3 linked regions of the Nothobranchius furzeri genome follow. Each later gene encodes a partner of the first gene's protein in a complex. Links are inferred from orthologs where the notes say so. Each region holds a gene or a part of one and is shown on either strand. Other genes may lie near its edges.

The links.
Region 2: flcn (region 1) and lamtor2 share a complex: the UniProt entries of both Homo sapiens proteins name them as parts of the lysosomal folliculin complex. The link is inferred for Nothobranchius furzeri from reciprocal best matches to the Homo sapiens genes FLCN and LAMTOR2.
Region 3: flcn (region 1) and lamtor5 share a complex: the UniProt entries of both Homo sapiens proteins name them as parts of the lysosomal folliculin complex. The link is inferred for Nothobranchius furzeri from reciprocal best matches to the Homo sapiens genes FLCN and LAMTOR5.

The regions. Positions count from the first base shown.
Region 1 is NC_091745.1:76,768,822-76,772,574, reverse strand, and holds the start of flcn (folliculin), read left to right. Parts: upstream 1-1,096; 5' UTR 1,097-1,303; intron 1,304-1,421; coding exon 1,422-1,628; intron 1,629-1,962; coding exon 1,963-2,109; intron 2,110-2,195; coding exon 2,196-2,417; intron 2,418-2,522; coding exon 2,523-2,689; intron 2,690-2,786; coding exon 2,787-2,878; intron 2,879-3,753. Other genes in the region: leng9 (leukocyte receptor cluster member 9), read right to left, coding at 510-615. UniProt on the Homo sapiens protein: Multi-functional protein, involved in both the cellular response to amino acid availability and in the regulation of glycolysis.
Region 2 is NC_091745.1:61,225,292-61,228,937, forward strand, and holds lamtor2 (ragulator complex protein LAMTOR2), read right to left. Parts: upstream 2,774-3,646; 5' UTR 2,557-2,773; coding exon 2,489-2,556; intron 2,027-2,488; coding exon 1,864-2,026; intron 1,779-1,863; coding exon 1,689-1,778; intron 1,127-1,688; coding exon 1,070-1,126; 3' UTR 628-1,069; downstream 1-627. UniProt on the Homo sapiens protein: As part of the Ragulator complex it is involved in amino acid sensing and activation of mTORC1, a signaling complex promoting cell growth in response to growth factors, energy levels, and amino acids.
Region 3 is NC_091755.1:27,982,339-27,986,091, forward strand, and holds the start of lamtor5 (ragulator complex protein LAMTOR5), read left to right. Parts: upstream 1-1,259; 5' UTR 1,260-1,366; coding exon 1,367-1,401; intron 1,402-1,481; coding exon 1,482-1,543; intron 1,544-3,083; coding exon 3,084-3,201; intron 3,202-3,753. UniProt on the Homo sapiens protein: As part of the Ragulator complex it is involved in amino acid sensing and activation of mTORC1, a signaling complex promoting cell growth in response to growth factors, energy levels, and amino acids.

The sequences.
Region 1 (3,753 bases):
GTTTGCTAGATCTTCCTGTTTCGACCACTTGGAATGTGGAGATGGTTAGGGGGCTACCACACTGAGCATCTCTGCTCAACTCTACACCACACATGACTGCAGAAGAGTCACTTCAGCAGAAGGCTGTGGTTGAAAAGTCCCCTCTCCATCCTTGTCACCATTACCAGTGACCTACTGACAAGATGCATCTGTAGAGCAACAGGAAGTGACTGCAACTTGTGGTGAAGATGGCCAAGTCACTGGAGGCTCACTCAGACAACAGAACCAAATCTGACCAACATGACTGGCAGGTGGGTAGACACAGGGAAGAAAGACGGCGAGAGAGAGAGAAATACAGATTTTTTTATATTTATATACATATAAATATACATATATTGAGAGAGAGAGAGAGAGAGAGAGAGAGAGAGAGAGAGAGAGAGAGAGAGAGAGAGAGAGAGAGAGAGAGAGAGAGAGAGAGAGAGAGAGAATGACAGACATGAGAAAAGACAAACACTAAAACAGGCATTTACCTCTCGTGGCTTGTTGGGCATCTTTCCTACTTTTAGTTTCAGCTGGGGGGGTCCCTCCACCGTCCACTGCGGATTCTGGGGGAACTCCTGATCCGTCTGACGCCATTCCCAGTTCAGAAAGGCTCCTACGTCCCTGTTGGGCTTTGCCTTTTCCTTTACAATGAAACACGGAAGTTACTGATGAGCTAATAAAGTAAACACACATGCTGTAAATTCAACATTATACAATGTTAATTACATTTAAATCACAAATACAAACGTTTTAAGAAATGGTGTTTTATATTTATTAAAAGTACATTACCACACGGTCCTCTGTAGCTCCGTACTTTTTAGCACTCTAGAGAAACGCTGACCAACTCATTCGTAACCTTTACCCTCCTCGAACTTAACTCTGGGTAATGTAGTTTTATGTTGTCTTTCGACGAAACACGCTTCGTAAAGTCAAATGCTAGCAACACATTTTCCCATATGAAAACTATCTGCTCACAGACGACATTATTTTATTTTAAATAAATCATAAAATAGTAATTATGATTAAACTTAATCAACTCCGTGACGTACGTCATGATTTGTGTCCGAGCGCGTGACTCGAGGTCACGTGACTGTGCTGTTTGCTAACAACTCGAGACTGAGACGAGAAAGTGCTGAGAGGATTTATTCTCTTGAATTCGCGCGTTTTATACGAGACATGTAGACGAAATATTTGATTTAGCGTCACGCTTTTGTTGTTTATACATTTTTAACACAAACGAGTGAAGCAGCAGCGAGCTCCAGTCTAACTCTCAGTGCTAAAGGTGAGATCCTCTCGTTGCTGCTGGTTAAAATGGCTTAAACGGGTGTTAGCTTGTGAATAAAAACTATGTCATAAATTACGTTGATTAGATTCTCATAAACGCTTGATCCGTTTCTCAGATGAATGCTCTGGTAGCTTTGTGTCACTTCTGTGAGCTCCATGGCCCTCGGACACTATTCTGTACCGAGGCGCTACACCCTCCATCCCCAGACCCCTCCTCTCAGGTGGGCACCCCGGTTCCAGGGGACAGAGATGCTGATCGGGAGGGTGAAGGTCTGACCATGAGGGCCAGCGGGTCTGTGTCTCAAAGAGGGGAGATGTGTGAGGTGAGTGGGCATGCGTGATGGGATCTCACCCACAGTAAACCTTGGAGAAGGTTCATTCAATTCAGTTTATTTATAGTCACGACAACAGTCGTCTCAAGTCACTTCACATAGTAAACATTTCTATACAAAGGAACTCAGCAGATTGCAGTGCTCACACTAAGCAAGTGTGTAGCGACAGTGGAGTGGAAAACTCCCTTTTAGCCCCAGAAGAGCCAGGCTCAGTATGAGCAGCCACCCGCCACAACTCATTATGGTTTAAGAAGATAGAGCAGCAACATTATTTAATAATCCTGTAATCGAAGTTCTCCTTTTCCCTCCTGTCCATGCCTCACAGGGATGCCGATCTCTACCTGCGTCTCACCCAGGCTTCGTGAGCATCGATGATGAAACAGGAATTCGCTTTGTGAGCCATCAGCACCCCAGACAGTCTCAGCTTTTCAGTGTAGTTCGTCAGGCTTGTGTACGCAGTCTCAGCTGTGAGGTAAACTCTACCTGATCTAACTGAGGAGGACCTTTTCTAACCTCCCCTCCTCCAAAAACGCGAGTCTTTTTGTTGTTGGGTTTCAGGTGTGCCCTGGACGTGAAGGGCCGATCTTTTTCGGTGATGAACAACACGGGTTTGTGTTCTCACACACGTTCTTCATCAAGGACAGCCTGGCCCGTGGGTTTCAGCGCTGGTACAGTATAGTTGTAGTGGCCATGGACAGGATCTACCTCATCAACTCCTGGCCTTTCCTGTTACGACACCTCAAACTCACTATACAAAGTCTGCAAAGCACAGCTCTAAAGGTAGAGCCTAAATGTAGACTGTGCATTCATTTTTTTTTACTGGACAAACACTTTGTCATTTTAATAAGTCAGTTTGTGCTGTTTTGCCATCTTTTTGTCCATCAGGTGTTTGACACTGAACAGGGTATTTGTCCCCAGCGAGCTCTGAGGATGAACAGCGTGTTTTCTCCTGCGGTTTTTCCACATCAAAGAAGTGGCAACGCAGCCCGATCGCTAACTTCTCTCACTCAGCATCCCAATCTCTGGGCCAGCCTGCATTGCTCCTTCAGCTGGTGAGTTGAGATAGACTTTTAATAGCCAGCCATTGTGATTTCTCCACGTTACTTTTATGACTTACCAAGCTGATGTGTGTTTTCACTTCCTTTTTAGGTTACTGAAAGCCTGTGGTTGTCGTCTGACAGAAAAGCTCCTTGAAGGAGCCCCAACAGAGGACACGCTGGTTCTTCTTGAGAGAAAAACAGGTAGAAAGACATGATTTCATCAGACATTCACTGCTATGGCTAGTGTTTTTGTTTGTTCAACTAGTCAGCCTGAAATCCGTAAGAGTGAATCACAGAGTCGATCGGGAAAGGCATTTGATCCAGGAAAACATGACACACCACTTCACAGTTAAACCCCGGTTTGTCGAGATTTAGAAAGTGATTAAAAGACTTTTGGAGAATTTTTGGGGCTCGGCCCAGACACGACTGTGGAATGAACTTTGTTCATTGATAAAAAATAAAAATAAATGTCCAAACAAAAACCTTTTTTTTACATGATTCTAAATCATTTAATGGAAATGATCAATGTTTTCTTCAAAAACCACAGAGCAGCTTTGCAGTAGTCACAGCCTGGCAGCCCACAGACATTCCTGGGTGTCTCCTTCTAGCAGATTATCTAATGCGACCCCCCCCCCCCCCCCCCCCCATATACCCTATGGGCCAGCTGTTCCCAGATCAGCGCAACAGGGTTCTGGCACGCAGCAGAAAGAAACATGATATTTTCAAGTGATCTCAAATATTTGTCTGGTAATGTAGATGATAGCTAGCCTGGCCGGCCAGACTCGTCCTCTGTTTAATTCTGCACAAAGAGTCTGGTAACTCACAGGCGGAGAGGCACTTGAGGGGCGGGACTAGACAGCTCAAAAATAACCAATGAGAAAAAAGACGTACATGCCGACTGTACCATGCAACGCTGTAGTTAAAAAATGGCGTCTAGCAACGGCGCAGACATCTATTATTCTTTTAAAGTCAAAGTTAAAGTCCCATTAGTTGTCACACACACAGGTATGTGTGTGACATTTATTCTCCGCATTTGACCCATCCCCTGGGGGAGCGGTGAGCTGCAGACACAGCCG
Region 2 (3,646 bases), about 16 Mb from region 1:
ACCGGGGGCATTAAAACAGTGTTTTTAAAGATTTTGTAATAATGTTATTTTATTCAGGGTACTTAAAATCAACTTGATTATTGCAAAACTGTATAGGCATTTAACTCCAGGTTTGGGTGATTAAAATTTTTATTTTGAAAGCTGAGACTTTCTTTATCTGGCTGCAGGTGAGAAAGTATATTTGATGCTAATGCCTCAAGAGAAAATCACTAACTGGTATCAATTAAAACTCATTAGTTGATTAAATGGAGTTAAACAGAATGCACATGCACTCGTGAGTTTTCTTAGCTTTTAAGTTACCCAGATCTTCTGACTTATTAAAAAAGGTTTTGTTTTTAAAGTATTGGATACTGAAAGAGTGAAAAGTTTCATCAGATTTTTGTGAAATCTGTGATTACTGAAAGAAATAAAATTATCTGGTGATGAAACTCAAAGACAAGCAAGGTAAGCTTCTCTAAACCCGCAAATTCTCCCTTTCACAAGATTTTCAGAGCAAATTTAAGTTTATCTCACCTGATACTGCATATTTAAAATTGTTTAAAAACGTTCAGAGGTGTATACGAGGGTGAAACACACCCAACCGTCACCAGCTCAAAGCAGGATTTAAAAGAATGGGTGACTCTGAGCCAGTATCTCTCATTTATCAAACAACCTTGACATAAAACACAAGTAAATAACAATCTCAACTGCATTTTTCAGAAAGATTCATATAAAATCTCCACACACGTTTTTATCATGATGTACATCTGTGACTCCTAAAAATGTTCAGTTTCACATTGAACAACAAAACTATGACCGAATGGACCGATTCCAAGTGAAAACTGAAAATGGAATCACATTTCAGCTGTACACACACACACACACACACACACACACACACACACACACACACACACACACACACACACACACACACACACACACACACACACACACACACCCCTCCATTTAGAGACATGGCCCTTTGTACACTTAGTGTTGGACAGGAGGGTTACAGCAGTCCACCGATGACCTGAACAGCTGATTTCTTCTTCAGTTCAGACCAACAGAAGCGTTGGTCGGATCTTCACTACGATGCGGCCACTTGAGTCAACGGTTCCTCCAGATACTGAACCAGAGCCTCTGCCTACAAACACAATAAAGCACAATTACTGGAAAAGATTAAATCTGGTACGACCTTTAAACTGATCAGAAACTTCAGCCTCAGTTCAGATTTAGCTGGGTTCTCCATGAGCTGCTCTAGCTGGACAAACCTGATGAACCTCATCCACGTGCCTCCCTGGGTCACTCTAAAGGACTTCCTGTTTTAAACAGTGGAACAGAAGTCTAGAACCACTCAGCACATTCCTCAGAAATACTAAAAGTGGTTTAATCTGTGTTTAAATGATTAGTTTCAAATGATTTGCACATTCAATGGTTTATTTAATGATCTGCCCTTACATTTTAGCCCTTTAAGTATAAAACGTTTTAGTTAAGACTTACGTTTAATATATGTGAACAGAATATGTCAATAGAAAGTGTTGAAAGGGTTAAAAGCAAAGTTAAAAGCAGTTTTCTTTGCCATCCAAACAACTGTTGTAAAATAATGCTTTAAACTCAATTGACAGAAGAGCTCCAACACATAAAATCTTTACCAATAAAAAGCAAAACGTGGGAAACAATTAGAAGAAAAGGCCCCGAACTCTCACCTTGGCTTTCAGCATCCCGAATCCCACAGTCTCTTTGGCATATATGCACAGCAGCAGGTTGGCTACACGAGTGATGGCCACTCTTCCCTCCTTAAAAAAAAACAAATACACAGAAGAAGGTTACAATTTGAGGTCAGCCTAATGTTTTAGCCTGAATCGGAGCTGTGTTTCTCACCATACAGTCCATGAGGATGAAGGTAAGCTTGTCTTCGTTGAAGGCTTGGTGGCCATTCTTGTCGTAAGCTGCCCAGATGTTGCTGGCGATGGCAGCTGTTACGCGTGCATCGGTATCTCCATAACCAGAGTAAGCCAGGAGGGAACCTTCATTATTCAGCAAGCTGAGAGGATAAACACGTGACACATACTAAGACAGCCTACTCATAAGTTATCTGTGTTGTTAGAAATAATCTTGATGTATGTTTAGATGGTGCAGCTAATGCCTCATCATACAATTAACATTTAGAAAGGTTGACTATTTTAGACACTAATGTGTAAATTAGAAATATTTTATAAATCATCTCATTGAAATTGATCATTATAAACCGAGGTATTTGTTAGGATCTGTTGCAACAGCGTTCTAATCTGTGACATTATAAAAACAGCTACGATAAAAATCATTAAATGCGCAAGTTTTACATTCAAATAACTAAAATTATGTCTTTTAAGCATTAAGAGTTCCCAAAAAACAACGCTTATTTTTCTTTGGGCGAGCTTTCCTTGTACAAAAAACGATAAGCAGCTAAGAGTCAGAGTAAATAGCATCTTAGCATCTCGTTAGCTTGTCGCTAACTCGTACTTACAGAGTGCTCTGGACTCCGTTTGTGTTCGCTTGGCTGAGGACCTGCGTCAGAGCTTTGGGTCGCAACATCGCTGTCGACCTCACCAAAGAATAAAAACGGTTTTAATAATAATAAGAAAAAAACACGAAGTATTTTGATAGTATGTTGATGTACGTGAAGAGCAATGCGTCCAGGCAGTCAGCTGACTTGTCTTTCCGCATTTCCGGCTTCCTTCGCATTGCACTTTGGGAAATGTTGTCTCGCGGTCGTAACTAAAAAGGATTTTCATTGGCCGTGCTCGAGTTGATGGCCTCGCCTGGAAAACAGACGAGAGCAGACGGAAGCAGCAGGGGGAGTGGCTGAAAGCCGGCGTTTAGGTCGGACACAATTTCCTGCATGTGTAGGATGGCTGAAGATATCGCGTTAGAGTTACTTGTTTAATTTTCAATTTTAATTCTGGTGCCTGTTAGCAGCTGAAACACATCCTCACGTGCTTGTGGATATCATGTATTGTATATGAAGACATGATTGTAATAATAAGCAGTGTTGGGAACGTTACTTTAAAAAAGTAATTAGTTATAGTTACTGATTACTTTGTCAAAAAAGTAACTCAGTTACTAACTGAGTTACAAGATCATAAAAGTAACTAATTACCAACAAAAGTAACTACTTAGTTACTTTTTTCATTAAAGAATGCAAGAATTACTACAATAGTAAAATATAAATGACTAATGACTGAACATAATAAAATGTATGTCCAAATGTTTTATATAAACCTGAATAATTTAAACAAATATGCACTTAACAGGAGGAACTACTAATAGGAACATTACACTAATCTAGACTATTAAAAGGTCACTGTGTGATATTTAACAAGACCCCAATCAGCTAAAATTTAAAATTGCAAATAGAAACACCTGTAAAGGTTCCCGAGCCTTTAAATGGTCTCTCAGTCTAGTTAAATTACAGAAATAAATGTAATTTTGCACAGTATTCTAATTTTTCCAGCTTCACATAATTGTGTGTTTTTAGCAGCATTTCTGTTGCTGCTAATCTAGTAACGGTTAAATAAATAAATAAATATCCTTTAAAATGACACTAGAAGAGGCACAGATCTGATGGAGGACTTACATTTACTAACTTGGGTCAGACCCAACCACAGAAGAGCTGAAGCTGGGT
Region 3 (3,753 bases), on another chromosome or scaffold:
AGTATGGAATGTGTAATGTTGGAGTTTCAGTAGTGAGGGTGAGGTGTCTGTGAAGTGTTCAGCAGTCTGATGGCCTGATGGAAAAAGCTGTCTCTCAGTCTGCTGGTTCTGGACCGGATGCTGCAGAACCTCCTTCCTGATGGAAGTAGTCTGAACAGTTTATGGCTGGGGTGACTTGAGTCCTTGATGATCCTCCCCGTTTTCCTCAGGCACCGCTTCTTATAGATGTCCTGGAGGGAGGGAAGCTCACCTCCAATAATCCTTTCTGCACACCGCACTACTCTCTGGAGAGCTTTGCGGTTGTAAGCGGTGCTGTTGCCATACCAGGTGGAGATGCATCCAGTGAGGATGCTCTCAATGGCACAGCAATAGAAGGTCCTGAGGATACGGTGGCTCATGCCAAATCTTTTCAGTCTTCTGAGAAAGAAGAGGCGCTGCTGTGCCTTCTTCACTGTATTTTCCGTGTGCACTGACCACGTAAGATCCTCTGCCAGGTGAACTCCAAGGAAACGGAAACTGCTCACCCTCTCCACAGCGTCGCCGTTGATGGTGATGGGGGGGTGTATTCCTCTGCTTCCTCTGCTCCTCCGGAAGTCCACTATCATCTCCTTTGTCTTTGTGACGTTGAGGGTGAGACTGTTGTCCTGACACCAGTGGGTCAGGGCGCTGATCTCCTCCCTGTAGGCCGTCTCATCGTGATTGGTGATGAGACCTATCACTGTGGTGTCGTTCGCATACTTCACAATGATGTTGGAGTTTCTCGTGGCCGTGCAGTCGTAGGTGTAGAGTGAGTACAGGAGAGGGCTCAGCACACACCCCTGCGGTGCACCAGTGTTCAGTGTGACGGGGGATGAGGTGGTGCCGCCCATAACATTATTATTATTATTATTATTATTGGAAAATTTAATAAAACTTGAAGGAAAATGCTAATTCTTTCTATCTATCTATCTATCTATCTATCTATCTATCTATCTATCTATCTATCTATCAATCTATCAATCTATCTATCTATCTATCTATCTATCATCTATCTATCTATCTATCTATCTATCTATCTATCTATCTATCTATCTATCTATCTATCTATCTATCTATCTATCTATCTATCTATCTATCTATCTATCTATCTATCTATCTATCAATCATCTATCTATCTATCTATGCCTATTTTGTTTATGTAATGTAAATGGAAAGATTTTGCGTTCTCTCTCTCTCTCTCTCTCTCTCTCTCTCTCTCTTTCTCTTTCGCGTCACACTTTTTGGTCCTCGTTGTGACTCGTAGCGCACGTGACGGTCAGCTGACTCTAACCGGAAACGTCGATGAAACTGTAAACAATTAAACCTTCTCTCTTTTCGTTTGTTAACGATGGAGTCGACTCTTGAACAGCATCTCGATGACACGTACGTTAAAAATCTCACTCTAACTGCTGACGTACTTCACTTTTTGTTTCATTAAAGCCTTTCTCCTTGTTTTTTTGTAGCATGAAGAATCCAGCAGTTGTCGGTGTGCTCTGCACAGATCACCAAGGACACAACCTGGGCTGTAAGATTAATTTAAAAAAGATTTACAGCAAAATGTATGAAACATATTCGGTTTAGTTAGCTTTTACAAGGCTACGTCAGTGTCGTGTTCTTTTTTTTTTGAATAATGAAATAACTTAGTTGCAGCAAAAGCTATTAATGTAACACACAAATAATATTATTTCCTTCAGTTTAGCTATTTTCATCTGTAAAGGTTGAAATACATACTACAGTATAGTTGAAGTTACTGTGAATCATACATTTCAACCATTAAAATCTCAACTTATTTCACATGCCAGAAAATCTTCACAGTGTTTGCACTGTTAGCATAATGAGATTAGCATTTCTGATGGAATGAGCTCTTCTGGCTGTTTAACAGGTCAACAGGAAGCTGCTGTAATTAAATTTAATCACAAAGGCTAATGAGGTATAATTAAAATTAAAATGTAATGTTTTTATAATTCTCTAAACACAACCAATCCAAAATGATGCTTATAATTGTTTATTGTTGATTATTACTCATAAACTAATAAATACTAAATGCTTAATAACCACGCAGTTAGTTAGTGAGGTCATTTATGAACATTATTCACATACAACAATTACTGTCATTGGGAAAGTGAATACTCCGTGGAATTGATTCTGTGTTACTTGTTTGGCTTCCATGGTTTAGTTTGAACTTTGATCTCTTCTACAATTCATCAAACTTCAGGGAGATGAACATGCTCTAAATTTTACTTAGGCTGTGAATTCAGAACATATCCAGTCCATTTTCATCAGCTGTGCAATGAAACACAAAGCAGAACAACTGATGATAATATAAAGTAATTATTTTACTTCCCAGAGGACTCCTGCAGCAGCTGACAGGTATCATGTGGTCTGAAGAATCACAGCTTGACGGTTGCTGGAGCATAGAACTTGCTGGAGGGGCTGTCTGCCCTCTAGCTGTCTTGATGGAGATGGAGAGTCACTGAGATCAGAGAAATCTGAGCTTCGCTCCTGGACCTGTTAGCAACCCAGACTTTGATAATTGGAAGAAAAATGATGGATATATCAGTATATATATTTTTTCTGTTCGGTTTAATTAATATTTATAACAGAGGCATCCAGCAAAGTCTAAGCTCTTTGTTAGCGTCCTCATACTTTTATTATCTTTTTAGGTCTTGTTGAAAGTTATTTTGAAAAGGTTATGATGTAACTGTTGGAAGTGGGTAAACATGAGTATTGTTTTGTGTAGTCAGTAGCAATGTTTCCCTGGTACATGGACAAACCTAAATGAAATAGTCAAAAGATGCAGAAGACAGAAACCAAACAATGAGTTCAACATGATTCAGATCCTCGAGAGACCCCAGAATTCAGAAATCCTCAGTCTGGACTAAATAACAGCAGTGGGACAGAAATGTTTGTAATATGTTAACAATCCTTCATAAGGAGGTCATTGTTGTATACAGGTTTGGAATTAACACAAATCACAGAAAATGACTGTTTGAAAGATGCACTGATTTCCTTTTTTTAAGACATTTAAATAATTCATTGCGTGTTTCTTTTCTTTTTTCTTTTAGGTCGTGGCTCCTTGTCTGATGAACATGGTGGTGTTGTGTCTGTTTTGTCCAAACAAGCTATGGCGCTCACCAGAGACCCAACAGTCACCCCGACCGTGTGCCTGGAGTCTGAGTCAGGGTGAGAGCACTGACCGGGTTTTAGCTTGACTTGTAATTCTTTTTAAAAATCTATCTCGGGGTATTTAAGATGTACCTTTGGGGGTTCTGATTAATGTGTACGGAGATCAATTACTCTAAAAAAAGCTTTTTGAGAGAGATCAGAACCAGAGACTCAGGGTTCTGAATCTGATCCAGTGGTTCACTGTCTCCCAGCAGCTATTAGCATCCGGGTCCGAGCCTTCATCGCGGTTGCTAAAACCAGTACGCTTATCTGGTTCCTCCAGTTTCTATTTACTTACCAAAGGCAATGCCATTTGTGACTTTGAACTGAACATGCTCGGTTCTTGGCATTAGATTCCAGAATGTTGTTCATTTCTTTCCCAAAAGGCAGCTGAGATATTTTCTTGAGACTCCAAGCCCTTTTTAATTTCCCCTAATAACCTCGTAGACATTTAAATAACCCCATCATCATTAAAAACGGGTCCAAAGTTGAACTACAGAATAAAAAATTAAAAAGCCAATGTCCTCTTTAGTGGACGGAGGCTCCATGGAGGATGGAGAGGGAGGAAGT